Linked DNA regions of Zea mays. Each later gene encodes a partner of the first gene's protein in a complex. Links are inferred from orthologs where the notes say so. Each region holds a gene or a part of one and is shown in the gene's direction. Other genes may lie near its edges.

What was found. Proteins that work in one complex are often made in the same cells at the same time.
Region 2: AUGMIN subunit 4 (region 1) and AUGMIN subunit 7 share a complex: the UniProt entries of both Arabidopsis thaliana proteins name them as parts of the augmin complex. The link is inferred for Zea mays from reciprocal best matches to the Arabidopsis thaliana genes AUG4 and AUG7.

The regions. Positions count from the first base shown.
Region 1 is NC_050100.1:72,638,714-72,644,973, reverse strand, and holds the start of AUGMIN subunit 4, read left to right. Parts: upstream 1-2,724; 5' UTR 2,725-2,787; coding exon 2,788-2,922; intron 2,923-3,001; coding exon 3,002-3,049; intron 3,050-3,137; coding exon 3,138-3,221; intron 3,222-3,467; coding exon 3,468-3,821; intron 3,822-4,035; coding exon 4,036-4,135; intron 4,136-4,236; coding exon 4,237-4,282; intron 4,283-4,518; coding exon 4,519-4,612; intron 4,613-4,728; coding exon 4,729-4,800; intron 4,801-4,914; coding exon 4,915-4,973; intron 4,974-5,124; coding exon 5,125-5,193; intron 5,194-5,335; coding exon 5,336-5,387; intron 5,388-5,894; coding exon 5,895-5,972; intron 5,973-6,054; coding exon 6,055-6,132; 3' UTR 6,133-6,260. UniProt on the Arabidopsis thaliana protein: Involved in microtubules reorganization during spindle and phragmoplast development.
Region 2 is NC_050099.1:32,961,672-32,967,931, reverse strand, and holds AUGMIN subunit 7, read left to right. Parts: upstream 1-2,575; 5' UTR 2,576-2,636; coding exon 2,637-2,770; intron 2,771-2,908; coding exon 2,909-2,994; intron 2,995-3,080; coding exon 3,081-3,142; intron 3,143-3,301; coding exon 3,302-3,393; intron 3,394-3,607; coding exon 3,608-3,733; intron 3,734-3,903; coding exon 3,904-3,994; intron 3,995-4,407; coding exon 4,408-4,515; intron 4,516-4,664; coding exon 4,665-4,763; intron 4,764-5,186; coding exon 5,187-5,375; 3' UTR 5,376-5,560; downstream 5,561-6,260. Other genes in the region: 40S ribosomal protein S3-3, read right to left, coding at 208-357, 469-600, 687-741, 1,698-2,017, 2,101-2,130. UniProt on the Arabidopsis thaliana protein: Contributes to the assembly of the acentrosomal spindle and phragmoplast microtubule arrays as part of the augmin complex. Regulates the association of gamma-tubulin with the spindle and phragmoplast microtubules.

The DNA.
Region 1 (6,260 bases):
ACCCGCGCAAAACCAGGCTGTCTGATGGGTTCATCTACAGGATCAAAATTCAATATATCTTTTTCTGCCTCTCCATTTAGCCATTTGATCTACAGGCTGATCGATGCATGCATATATAGCATAGTTACATAGTTTCATACTCCTCGTGGAAGTACCTCGTGTGTGGATGGTTCGGGGTATCGTCTTCCTTGGGCCGGCACACGGTAATGCTTGCCTCGCTCGACGCCTTCTCCAATGCGGCCACCCGCTCATGGATGACCTTTAGTCGGTCGTCTCCTAGAGCTCCCTCCCCTTCCGGCGTGACCAGCACCAGCTGATGGAGGACAGGGGACTTATCCAGGAAGAAGCTGAGCAACCGCAGCTGGCACCATGTCCCACTAAAATTCACAAACTTGACGAACGTCAGCTGGTCAAGGACGATCTCCTCCTTGGGTGCCATGTCTTCGCTATCATCGTTCTCGACGCTCCACACTGCTGCCGATGAGCTGCCTTCTCCCTCCCGCTTGTGATCAATATGGAGCTGCGGATGGAGTTCAGCTCCGGTAAGCAGCAGCAGCTAGAAAAACGAGTTTTACCTGCCCAAGAAATGAGAGAGTCTTACACGCACAAAGAGCCGTTGAAGGACTGGAAGTGGGATGAGCTTGAAGAAACCGGACACGGCCTCAAGGCAGTAACCTTCGTAGTTCATCAGCAGCTGCAACTCTTCTAGGTTCGGCATGTCTTTGAATGGGTCGAGCCAGCTGAGTGAATCAACATGCTAATCTGATCCACAAGAGTATCCCAATCCCATTCACAGGAAGCGTCACGGTTGGTGACGAAGACGTTGCAGTGCAGGGCGAACGACTCCAGCGCGGGCGCGTCGACGCAGAGTTGTTTCAAGGCCTGGCAGCCCACGAGCTCCAGCACCCGCAGCGTCTCGCTGGCCACGCTCACCATGGCGAGGCGGGAGCAGCGCTTCAGGCTGAGGCGCTCGAGCGCCGGACAGTTGGCGACAAGGCCCCGGAGCGCCTCGTCGGTGACGTCGACGTGGCTGAGGGAGAGCGAGCGGAGGCCGGCGAGACCCACCGCGGGGAGCGGAATGGCGCGGAGGCTGAACCGACCGAGCGCCAGCCGCTCCAGTGAGTTCCTGGCCTGGAACAGATCGGCGGGGAGCTCCAAGAGCGGCGCCTCGTGACCGGCGTGCGGGACCTCCTCCTCCTCGCCCTCCTCCTCCTCCTCCTCCGGTAGCGGCGGTGCCAAATCCACTTCGACCGCCCTGGCGCCCCTCCGCAGGCCAGCCGCGATCCACCCGATGACGTCTTGCCCGTCCAGATCTGATGGGCAAACCAACGCCACGCATGAGTCTGCTGACCGGTTGGGTGAAGGCAGCCGATGGGGAGGAGTTGGAGGACGACAGTGCGCTGCAGGCCGCCGATGGGGAGGTGGAGTCCGACGGTGCGGTGGGGGAGGAGGTGGAATGCGATGATGGGGTGGAGGAGAGGGAGGGGAGGCCGCCGGAGTTGAGCGCAGTGGAGGAAGCGCGCGAGCCCGTGGCTGGAGCCGCCGGCGGAGATTAGGTCGCGGCCGTCGCTGGAGATTAGGTCGCACGGTAGGCTGCACGCTGGACAGTGGGCTGCACGATGGGATGGGCCTCAGATCTACACAAAAATTATTGGGCCGCACGAACCGCTGCCACATGTGTGTGCCATCTATTTTATTAGTGCCACATTGGCCATTGAGAGTAATGGAACATGGCTTATAAGGGCAGCTGTGGATTCTATGTTGCTCACTAAGAGAGATGGGACGGAACGTTGAGAGAGATGGAACGGAACAGAATGTAGCACATAAACTTGTGCATGTATTGTTTATTTTGTTGCGCGGGACTAACGGAGACAGAACAGCCGTTGGCAGAACGCGTCAGAGGCAGAACACGTCAGAGGCAGACTACTATTGCTTACTTAATAAGTAGTAGAGATATTGATTCCGTAGCAACGCACGAGCTTACACCTAGTCAAATATATATAAGATTAAGAATATAACACAACATTACATTACCTAACATTTAAAATACATATTTAGAATTATATGGCTAAGCCTATGTTAAATCTACAATTAAATCTACAAAATTGTGGTAGTGCTGGTCTGTCTTCTGAACCCGTGATTTGAGACTATCTCGATCCCTATAAAATTAGTGTAAAAACAAAGAATCTTCTGTAGTAATTTAGAAACGTATCATGTGCAAATCTACTTTTTAGTGTAAACCGTGCAAACAAGTGTTTTTTTAAATAACTCCTACTGTGCATTAGCTTCAAAACTTGCGCCAACGTGTTGTTTTGCACTTGATATATTCCAGTAATTTTTTTTGTTAATCACCACTTCCCACTAATGACTGAAAACTACTTTAGAGCCACGGTGGCCTAGATCTATTTTTAACCGGATTGTTTGTGTAATTTATATAAATTTTGATTAGTTGAAACGATTCTAAATGCATTTATGTATAATCGAACATGGGCACATGCCTTACTAAGATCAAACGCTATCGATAATTCGTCGTTTTCTGTTTCAGCATTGTATTGTTTTTTTACCTCAGTTCTCACACGACTACACGAGTGACACCAGCTGGCTTTCACAAGCTTCTCTTGCATTGAAACCATCCGGCCGGCCGCGATCTGACCCGTCCATTTGCCGATCCAACGGCCACCAACCCACCACCACCACCTCACGAGCCCAACCAAATTCAAACCAACGCTACCGTGCAACCAAACCAACCAACCCCATTCCTCCGCCGGCCGCCGGCAGCCGCCCGCGATGTCGAAGGCCGCGGCAGCGTCCCTCCCGCCGCCGCCGCCAGAGGTGGCGCACCTTGTGGAGCAGCTCCAGCGCCACCACCTCGCCCCGGACGCGTCCCTCCTCTCCAGCTCCGCGCACTCCGACCTCCTCCAGGTACGCCCGCCCGCCGCGCCCGCCACCCTCCTCACCCTACCGGCCTACCGCTGCTCACCTGATCCCTGTGCCGGCGCAGGCGCGCGAGGAGGTCGCGGCGGAGCGCGCGCTGTACCTCGAGGCACTGGTGAGTCCCGACTCCCCGCCCGCCTCGTCGGATCCGCATTTTAGGTTTTGCTCGCCGGGTTCTCATCAGATCCGGCGCTGTGCCGTAGGCGGTGTACGCGGAGGCGGTGGCCATGGTGGAGGAGTACCATGCGGCTGCCGGCGCCGGCAAGAAGCTCAACTGCTCCCCGCAGGTTCTGCTCCTCTGTGACGAGTCCTCATTTTAAATTGACTGGTGCAATTGTGCAAATATATCTTCAAATGTGAGTTGGGTGGGCAGTACTAGCTGAACAATAGACCGTGGAATTCCGCACGGTTGGTCAATGGGAATTCCTCATCGTTGGTTCAATTGACTTAGCACCATGTTCGGGAAACTGTCCAGCAAAAATTACATTCTGATTCAGTCGCTGAGCTTTGTCGGTTCTGAACTTCTGATCCAGGTGTACGAGTCTTTGGAGCACCGGTTGGCCGTGGCAGAGGCAGCACAGAGGCTTAGGCTCCCACTGCTCTCTCAGGACGGGGAGGTCCATGAGCAGGAGATCGAAAAGCTGAGCACCTATTCAAGAAGTTCATTCGATAGCACCCTCACAAGCGCGACACCCAGCTCAAGTTCAATCTCGACGAGTTACAACAATTATAGCAGCAGCGCTAGTGCGGTGACTGTTGCTGCTCCACATTGGAGTGGTAGTTCTGATGCAGTTGAACCTGGAGTTGGTGGTGTTCCTGACCGTTTTCTTGGGATCACTTCTGATTATCTCTACCAAGTGCAACAAGAGCAGCCAGCCATGTCTGTTGTAAGAACATTTTTTCGTGCCTAAATGGTCAATTCAAACCTTGTTACTTTTTTTATGTGGTTAACGTAATTCTGGTATATACCTTTAGAAGTGCAAAACTATTCTGTAACCAATTTTAGACTATGTTGCGTTTTATCCTTTTTGTCAATGAGTGAAAGAATAAATAAAATCTTCACCTGAACTTTGAAAGCATCTGCTTTTGTGTTGATTACAGGACATGGTTGATTATCAGAGAACTTTGGCTAGGGAGATTGAAGCCCGGTTAGAAGCCAAGTGTGATGCTTTGGCTGATCTATTTGCTATGGATGAAAGGGGTCAGTTACTGAAACTAGTGGAAGATTAGGAGAGAGGGATGGAGCAGTCCAAATTCTGGTTCTGGTTATTATTCTGTCTTACCTTAACATCTTTGCTGCAGATTCGTCATCCCTCAGTCAAATTTCAAGTGCTAGGCTTCCAGAAAGGTAGACTTTCTTATCTTACATTTTACATCACACTGTACCAATCACCTATTTAATATTAATACCATCTCACCGTCCCTTCTTTGCTGCAATCCCATCCATTTACATAGCCAACATATCTTGGCATGAGTGCCCAATTTTCCATGGAATTGGAAACTCATGTGGAGCTTGTGATATGATGAAGTTGGACAGGCGTCCCTGATAAGTATTCCTCATTTTTTTTACTTCCCATTTGACAGGGTAAAATTAATCATCGAAGAGATAGAGAAGGAAGAGGCACATCTCCTGGAGGACCTTGCTTCAATGGACAGAAAATTTGCTGAACATTATAATGTATGTTTGTATGCCTTTACTAATGCCTATTTTTTCAGAGGTGCACTGACTTTACCTTGGCACAAATTCTTTCTCGCACCTCTAAGTAATTAGCTATGGTTCTGAAAATTCCAAAGGTCTTGGAGCAAATTCTTGCTGTGCTTATACAGTTTGTTAAAGACAAGAAATTGGAGCATCAGCACCAATTTGTAAGCATTCTCATATTCTGTTCTCTGGTTGAACTTCTTCAAAGTAAACATGTCACATTTTCATACTGTTAGTATTATTAGTCGAAGTGTTTAACATGTCTCATTGTCTAACAGGATGATCTGAAGAAGACCTGGCTTATCAAAAGGTGTCGGACAATGAATGCTAAACTAAGGTTGGTACTCGCAACAGTGATCATATTATAAGTGTACAACAGTTGTTACTCTATACAACAGTTCTCTCTCTATATATTTTGAATTCCCTGTGCTAAGGGATTTGAAGATTAGGTTAACTATATATATATATATATATTACTTTGATTCCAGCTATCTGGAGCATCATCTATTGCGTGACACTTACACCAAGGACACAGTACCAGCACTGCACAGGATCAGGTATAGTTAAGGCAATCGATCTTGTAGTGGATATACTTTTTTAGTCATGTTGCACTTGTTATTCATAAGATGGATTTGATTTGTTAGGTGCCTTTGGTTTTCAGCGAAGGACCTTCTTGTAACATATTAACTGCTTTTGCAGGAAGTATCTTGTAGAGGCCACAAAAGAAGCATCCAATTCTTATAATGAAGCGGTAAGATACATGATTTTGCTTCTTGAAATATTTCCAATGTCTGGTTGTATGAACAGCCAAGAAAAAGCTCTCAAATTGGTGGCTACAACTCACGAAGAGTAGAACTGTACAAATCTTAAGAGCCAATGCCTAGCAGCTACTTTTTAGTGAAAAAACAACTAACTGATACCTTGAGGCTGTATGAAGTAGTTAGCATCAAGTTATAATTAATCATTTATGACTAAGCAAAGTCCTGCTTAGGAAGGTTAAATGTGCAAACATGTGACAACCTATGATTTTAATGTTAACCTGCTGCAGTAGGCAATTTAACCTGATGTAGAGTTTATTCCAGTTGCATAAACAATAACCAGACATATGGTATTCTGTATTTTTTCATTTTTAACTACATGTCTGGAGAAAGAACGGTGCCATACTGCCATCTCAAGGAATATTCCGTCTGAAAAGAACTCATGGAACCCAATGTTCCGCCAGCTAACTGTTTGCTCTGATGATTGTTCTTGGTGTCAGGTTTCGCGGTTGCGTGAGTACCAGGGTGTAGATCCACGGTTCGATGTGATTGCGAGGCAGTACCACGAGATTGTAAAGGTAATCTGGCTCAGTGTTGCTGCCACTAGTTTACCGTATGTTTTTACTTGCTAAGTTGCTAACCCTGGTCGAGCTTCATCAGAAACTGGAGGGCATGCAGTGGACAATTCACCAGGTGGAGATGGACCTGAAACCTCACCATGACCACGCAGCTGTTTAAGTCCACATCTGTTGGAGGCCATGTTTATTACCTGAATGCAGCGGGTGCGAGTTAGGGGGGTTGCAGTGGATTTGATTTGAGTCAGAGGGTTTCTGTTTGTGCATGTTTTTTTTTGTGTATATCCATGT
Region 2 (6,260 bases), on another chromosome or scaffold:
AGGCAAAAAATAAACATACCAAAAATAAAATTCCAGAGCATACAATAAGGAACCACACTTTCATCCGGTACATATAGCTTGTCTCGGCAAAACTTAATTTTAAACAGAAGTGACACGGAACGAACTGTCTTAGCACTGCCCTTATCATAAGATACAAACCTAGCTAGGACCAGATCAAACTGCCATTTCGAGGACGCTGTTGGGACCTTAGACCTCAGCTGCCAAGACAGGAGGGCGCAGCTCGTCCTCCTCCTTCGGGGTATGGATGGTCACCAGGTCCGGAAGAGGGGTGATCGGGCCAACCTTGCCCTTCGGGTCCCAGTCAAGCATGATCTTCACCTTGATACCCAGAACACCCTGCACGACAGAAAAAGATGTTTGTTGAGAAATTACATTTGGAACGTCGAAAATGAAGTGCTTACCCAGAGACAAACAGACATTACAACGGGCAATTGTAGCAAAACAAACCTGTCTGAGGAGGACGTGTCTCACAGCTGAGTCGATGTACTCATTCACTGGCTGACCAGATGAGATCATGTAGCCATCCTTGAACTTCATGGACTTGGCTCTTTGAGCCCTGAGCTTTCCACTCACAATGACCTGTATTAGAACAAATAAGGCTGTCGACATGCATTCACCAATCATCAGAAAATGAACAGACCCTCATAGTGCACAGGAGCACTAACCTCACAACCCTTGGCACCACTCTCCATAACAAAGCGAAGAACACCATAGCAGGCCCTGCCGACAAAACAAGCATGTTAGTAAGGAGAACTAGACTAACTGTAATACTGGACAGGGTAACAACCTTAGGTAGCATTTTTTAACACAAGAATTAATGATACGCCCAACGAACAATGACACTTTATCATCCAAACAAGAAAATATATTAGCAAAGGCATAAATTGATACGATGGATAGAAAGGCGGCACATAGAAGAAAATTAATGAGCCTATGAGTACCATTCATGTCAAGAATGTGAGATAGAATTAGTAGACAAACAGCAGAAAGATTGTTCATCTGTGGATCTATCTCTCAGCGGTTGTCTGGCCGCCGCTACTACAAGAGCAGCATTTCCTCTATGCACCATCTTAAGCCCCACTACCATAAAAGATGGCAGGTAAATATAAATATAGGTGCCAAAAATGAAAAATGTATTTGATACACGATAAATTTGCATGCAGTGGGCACAACTACTGTAAAGGACTATTAAGGTCAATGAAGTTGCTATGCTATTAGGTCAATGGGACTGAAGAAATGTGAGACAGATTTAGTAGACAAACAGGATATTAGTCATTTATCTGTGGATCTGTCTCAACGGTTGTCTGGCCGCCACTGCCTCAAGGAGCAGCATTTCCTTTCTGCACCAGTACAATATCTAACCAACAAGAACTGAAGGCAGAACATATAATCACAGGTGCAAGCATTCTAACCAATGACTAACGTCTCAACTTGGAAGTTTTAAGCAACTCAAAATTCTTCTAAATAGATTATAAGCAAATTATAGGTTATGATCTCCTAATAATTCCAAATTTTGGGTAGTGTAGGCAAGGTATTCCTAATTTTTCGATGCTATAGTTACCACTTAAATACAATTCAACGAACAAGAATATACAAATTATAAGTAGTAGCAAGCACATCAAAATCAGCAAATCACACAGCTAGCTGGTAGGGAGTAGGGTCTTATCAAGTTATACCTCCGGACGGCAAGGCCTCCGAGGAGCTTGTAGCGGAGGGACTCAGCCTGCGCGATGGCGCAGAGGCCGCGGTTGACGACCTTCTCGGCGTAGAGCTCGACGCCGTTCTCGGGGAAGTTGAACCTCTTCTGGACGACAGACGTGAGCTCCCTGATCCTGCGGCCCTTCTCGCCGAGCACGTTCTGCGTGCGCGTGGCGCGGATGATGATCTCCGTGCGCATCGGTGTGACGCGCACCTCCACGCCGGAGTAGCCGTCCTCCGCGAGCTCCCGCGTCAGCATCTCATTGAGCTCGGCGTAGAACACGCCGTCGCTGACGAACTACGGACAAGAGCACAGGTCAGATCCATCGACGCAGGGGGGAGAAGGGCTGGTAGCGCTACGTTTAGGAGGAGCTCGCGTACCTTCTTCTTCTTGCTGATCTGGGTCGCCATGGTTGACGGAGGAAGATGGGGAGCTCGCAACGACGGCGGCGGCGAGCAGGCGAGGGCGCTACGGTTTTGGGATAGTGGGTCGGGAGGGAAGTGGCGGCGCGAGAGACGGCGGCGAAGAGGGAGCACGTAATTTATATGTTGGGCGCTGGGTAGGGTTTGGATGCGCCTTCTGGCTGGGGGAGGCGAGTGAGAGCTAGTGGGGCTTTGAGGCCCATTTGCGGATACTTGGTCTCACTGCAGGCCTTGGGCCTTCTAGCCGATAGTTATGAATTTTAGCCCAATTAGCGGGCTCCTTATGAATCAATCCTGATTTGCAACTAAACGCATGCGAGTATGCGACGACCCTTTCGTCGAATTTTGAAAGGGATCGGTAGGAAAATTAAAATTTGGGGAACTATCAAACACATCTCGTTACCATCTAGCTCGTTGGTCAGTCGCCGTCAGCCCAATACCCACCATCCCCACCAACGGCCGGCCGCCGCGGCGGAGCGGAGCAGAGAGCAACCATGGCGTCGAAGCAGATGGAGGAGATCCAGCGGAAGCTATCCCTGCTGGAGTACCCGCGGGCGAACGCCCCCGCGCAATCCCTCCTCTTCGCCGGCGTCGAGCGCTACCGCCTCCTCGAGTGGCTCTTCTTCCGGTACGCGCCGCATTTCCTTTCCTCTCCGCTTCTCCTGCTTTCTGGGAGCTGTGATCTCTCTGCTGGGTTTGGCCTTCGATTTTGGGATTCGGGCTAGGAACTGACGGTCTGCTCGTTTGGTGTGTGCGCGTTCCGGAGGCTCCTAGGCGACAGATCGCCCTTCACGCAGCAGAACTGGCAAGGGGATAGCCTGGACCGCGACGAGGAGAACAACAGGATCCAACGTAACGTTTTGGTTTCATCATTAGGCTAAAATGCTTTCCTTTCCCGGGATCGCGCGTGGTGCTGACCATGGCGTGTGGTTCTGCAGACCTGGCGGAGATAGCCAACTTCTTGGGCATCACACCTTCGGCGGACACCGAGGCGATTCAGGTGAGAGAAATGGCTGGCCTATATGTGTTATGTGTTAAATTTGCTGGATTTTATGCTGCTATTGCCATGCAAGATACCAAGATGTCTAGCACAGCACAAATGCAAACTGAGATGTATGGCGTGCCATCTTTCATCAGTTCATAACTGTCGTTGTTGCAGGGTCGAGGTAGCTATGAGGAGCGGGTGGAACTGCTCCATCTTATTGTTGACCTAGTGGAAGCTAGTTGCTACGCTGACAATCCAGAATGGAGGTCGGGTTTACACACAATTATTTTTATCTGAAATGAAATGTACCTACTATGTTGATTATACATAAAACTTGGGAAGCTTGTGATAAAACTTTCTTCCAACATCGTAATACATGATGCCAAATGAAATCTGTTTACAAAGAAAAAGTATTGTGATAATTTGCATATGAGGAGGGTACCTAACATAAAGTACTGAGAACAATTTGTACCGTTGTAGTGTTGATAAGCAATTGGAGAAGGATGTGCAACTAGTAGATTCAATTGCTGAGAAACAAGCCCAAATTTTTTCAGAGGAGTGCAAGCTTTTCCCTGCGGATGTTCAAATACAATCAATTTACCCCTTGTAAGTACTTCCAATTTAAATACTTGCCAAATGTACTGTTTAGGTGCTTCATGTGCCTACAGAATTGCTCTGTTGGTCTGAATCTTTGTTGACGCCCTGTGATCCTCAACTAACAAAATTGCTCAAATCACCTCAAATTTTCTAATTTGAATTCAATTCTCATTTTGTAGGCCTGATATTGCTGAACTAGAGTTAAAGCTCTCGGAGTATACCAAAAAGATGTCTAATCTGCAGCAAATGGTTCAGGAGTTAGCATCGAAGGTATAATAGAATATACAACTGTACTTATGTTTTAAGTTCAGCACCACTTCCCCCAAATTAATGATGGTTTATGTATGAACGGAAACTTGGACAGACTTTTTCTGCACTAGCTTTACAGTTTTCTACATTTTGAAATTTATAAAGGCTGCTAATTAATTATCAAAGGCAGAGCTAACTGCGACCTCTTGTTTGTTGCTTCACACCCCAACCTGCATGCTAAAGTTTTTTGTTGATATTTTCACAGTTGTATGTTATCTTTCAAAGCATATGATCATTTAACTTAGTTTTATAATCAATAACTTTCCGGTACACCATGCTCTAATTTTTTGTGTGTATATGATATTGTTTGTTGCTCTTCCCTTAGTAGTCAGTATCATGCTATTTTAAGTTAACTTCGTAGTTGCTTGTGACAGTATGATTATAATCCAAATGAAGACTATGCGGAGACAGAGTTGAAGTTGAGGGAATACTTGCAATCATTTTTGGAAACGGTTAAATCCTTCAACACAATATATACTAAGGTGACTACCTTATGCAGCAATTCCTGTTTTCCCCATATCTTTTTTATATACACTGGATAGGTATCCTTAGCATATTTTCTGTTGCTGATTATTAATTTTAAGTGCTGAACAATTCTATACTAAAGGTGATTTAAATTGTCATAATATAGGAAATCCATCCTTGGACCCACATGATGGAAGTGCCACAATTGCATGGCTTCGGTCCAGCTGCTAATCGCCTCTTGGAGGCATATAATACCCTTTTAAAGGTAATTTTGGAATGTCCACTTCACTGATTGGTCATGTTGTTCATTTCTTGATACTTTACTATCACTGACCTGCAGACTGTGACAAGCTTAACCCAATGACAGTGTAACCAACAGGAATAAAACAGAATGTGTTTCTGCTGGAAGTTGAGAACTAATTTAACCTGCTTTGATAACTACAGCTTCTGTGCAGTTACTGAGCATTGAGCACCATATCTTTACAATACGATATCTCTTGAAATACCATGTCTTGAAATTGTATGACACTCAATACCATATCACTTTACCTTTAGTGGGCATCTTCTCAGGATCCTTCATTCCATGTTCTCTCCAATTGGATAGTGCATTGTGTTCTGTCTTTTGGGTGCCTGTTTCTAACCTACGAAACATGCTTTTTGACCTGGTTATTTATACCTGACTTTGCAGTTCTTGGGAAATCTGAGGAGCCTCCGAGATTCATACACTGCAATGGCTGCTGGTTCACTGTCGGCTTCTAATGAGCCTTCATCTGTGACCAAGATTATTTCAGACTGCGAATCTGCACTCACCTTCTTGAATCACAGCCTTTCCATCCTTTCAACTTCCGTGGCACGTGAGCAGGGGGGAACGCTATGATTTTACAGTATTTGGATAGTAAGATATAGTCAGTGAACTTATGTATGTAAGCTTCTATTAATTCAATTGTTTGCTTCCTATAAAAAATCAGTTGTTTGCATTTTAATTTCAGCTAGTGCATGTACTCCCTTTGATCCAAATTATAAATTGTTTTGATATTTTCCAAATTATGTCTAGATACACAATCATAATTGTTTATGTAGAAAAAGTCGTGGTGGTCTAGATTCACAATAATCTCTACTAGAAAAAGACCGTGTCACAGACTATAGCGATGATTAAGGAGTAAATCCCTAGCAAGCCTGTTGTATGTTTTGGGGAGGGGGGGAGGTTGACATGGGACATTTGTGCCACCATAATTAGTCTCATTTCCTAGTGTGGTGGACTTGCGTACTCTAGCCCTTGTATGCGCTCATCTCCTTTTTAATATAACAAGCAATCCTCTTTCCGGTTTTCAAAAAAAAGTGTGAATGTCTTCGTAACTAGTCATGCTATTGTTTGTTCGTGCTATACAAATGAAGGAAAAATATAAATATATATGTAAAGTAATAATTTGAAAATAAAAATCCAATCGTGTCAGGATGGGCCGGCATTGTGGATCAAGAAGACGGTCCAATCACGGCACGATTCTCTGGGGTTGGACCAGCACGAGTCCACTTTGAATCATATCGACCTTAGATGTGTGCCACCGCGTTTAGGTCCACGCAAGGTGCACCACAATATCCATTGCGTTGGTATGGATGACATTATTGCATGGTTACCTCGGCTTTGGTTTGGCTTAATCCGTAGACGTTCCAATTGCATGTGCATGTGTTGATCTTGTCCTAGTCCCTGGTTGTCTCTCCTTGACACGATCTAGGAATCTATGGATCGGAATTGTGTTTGAAT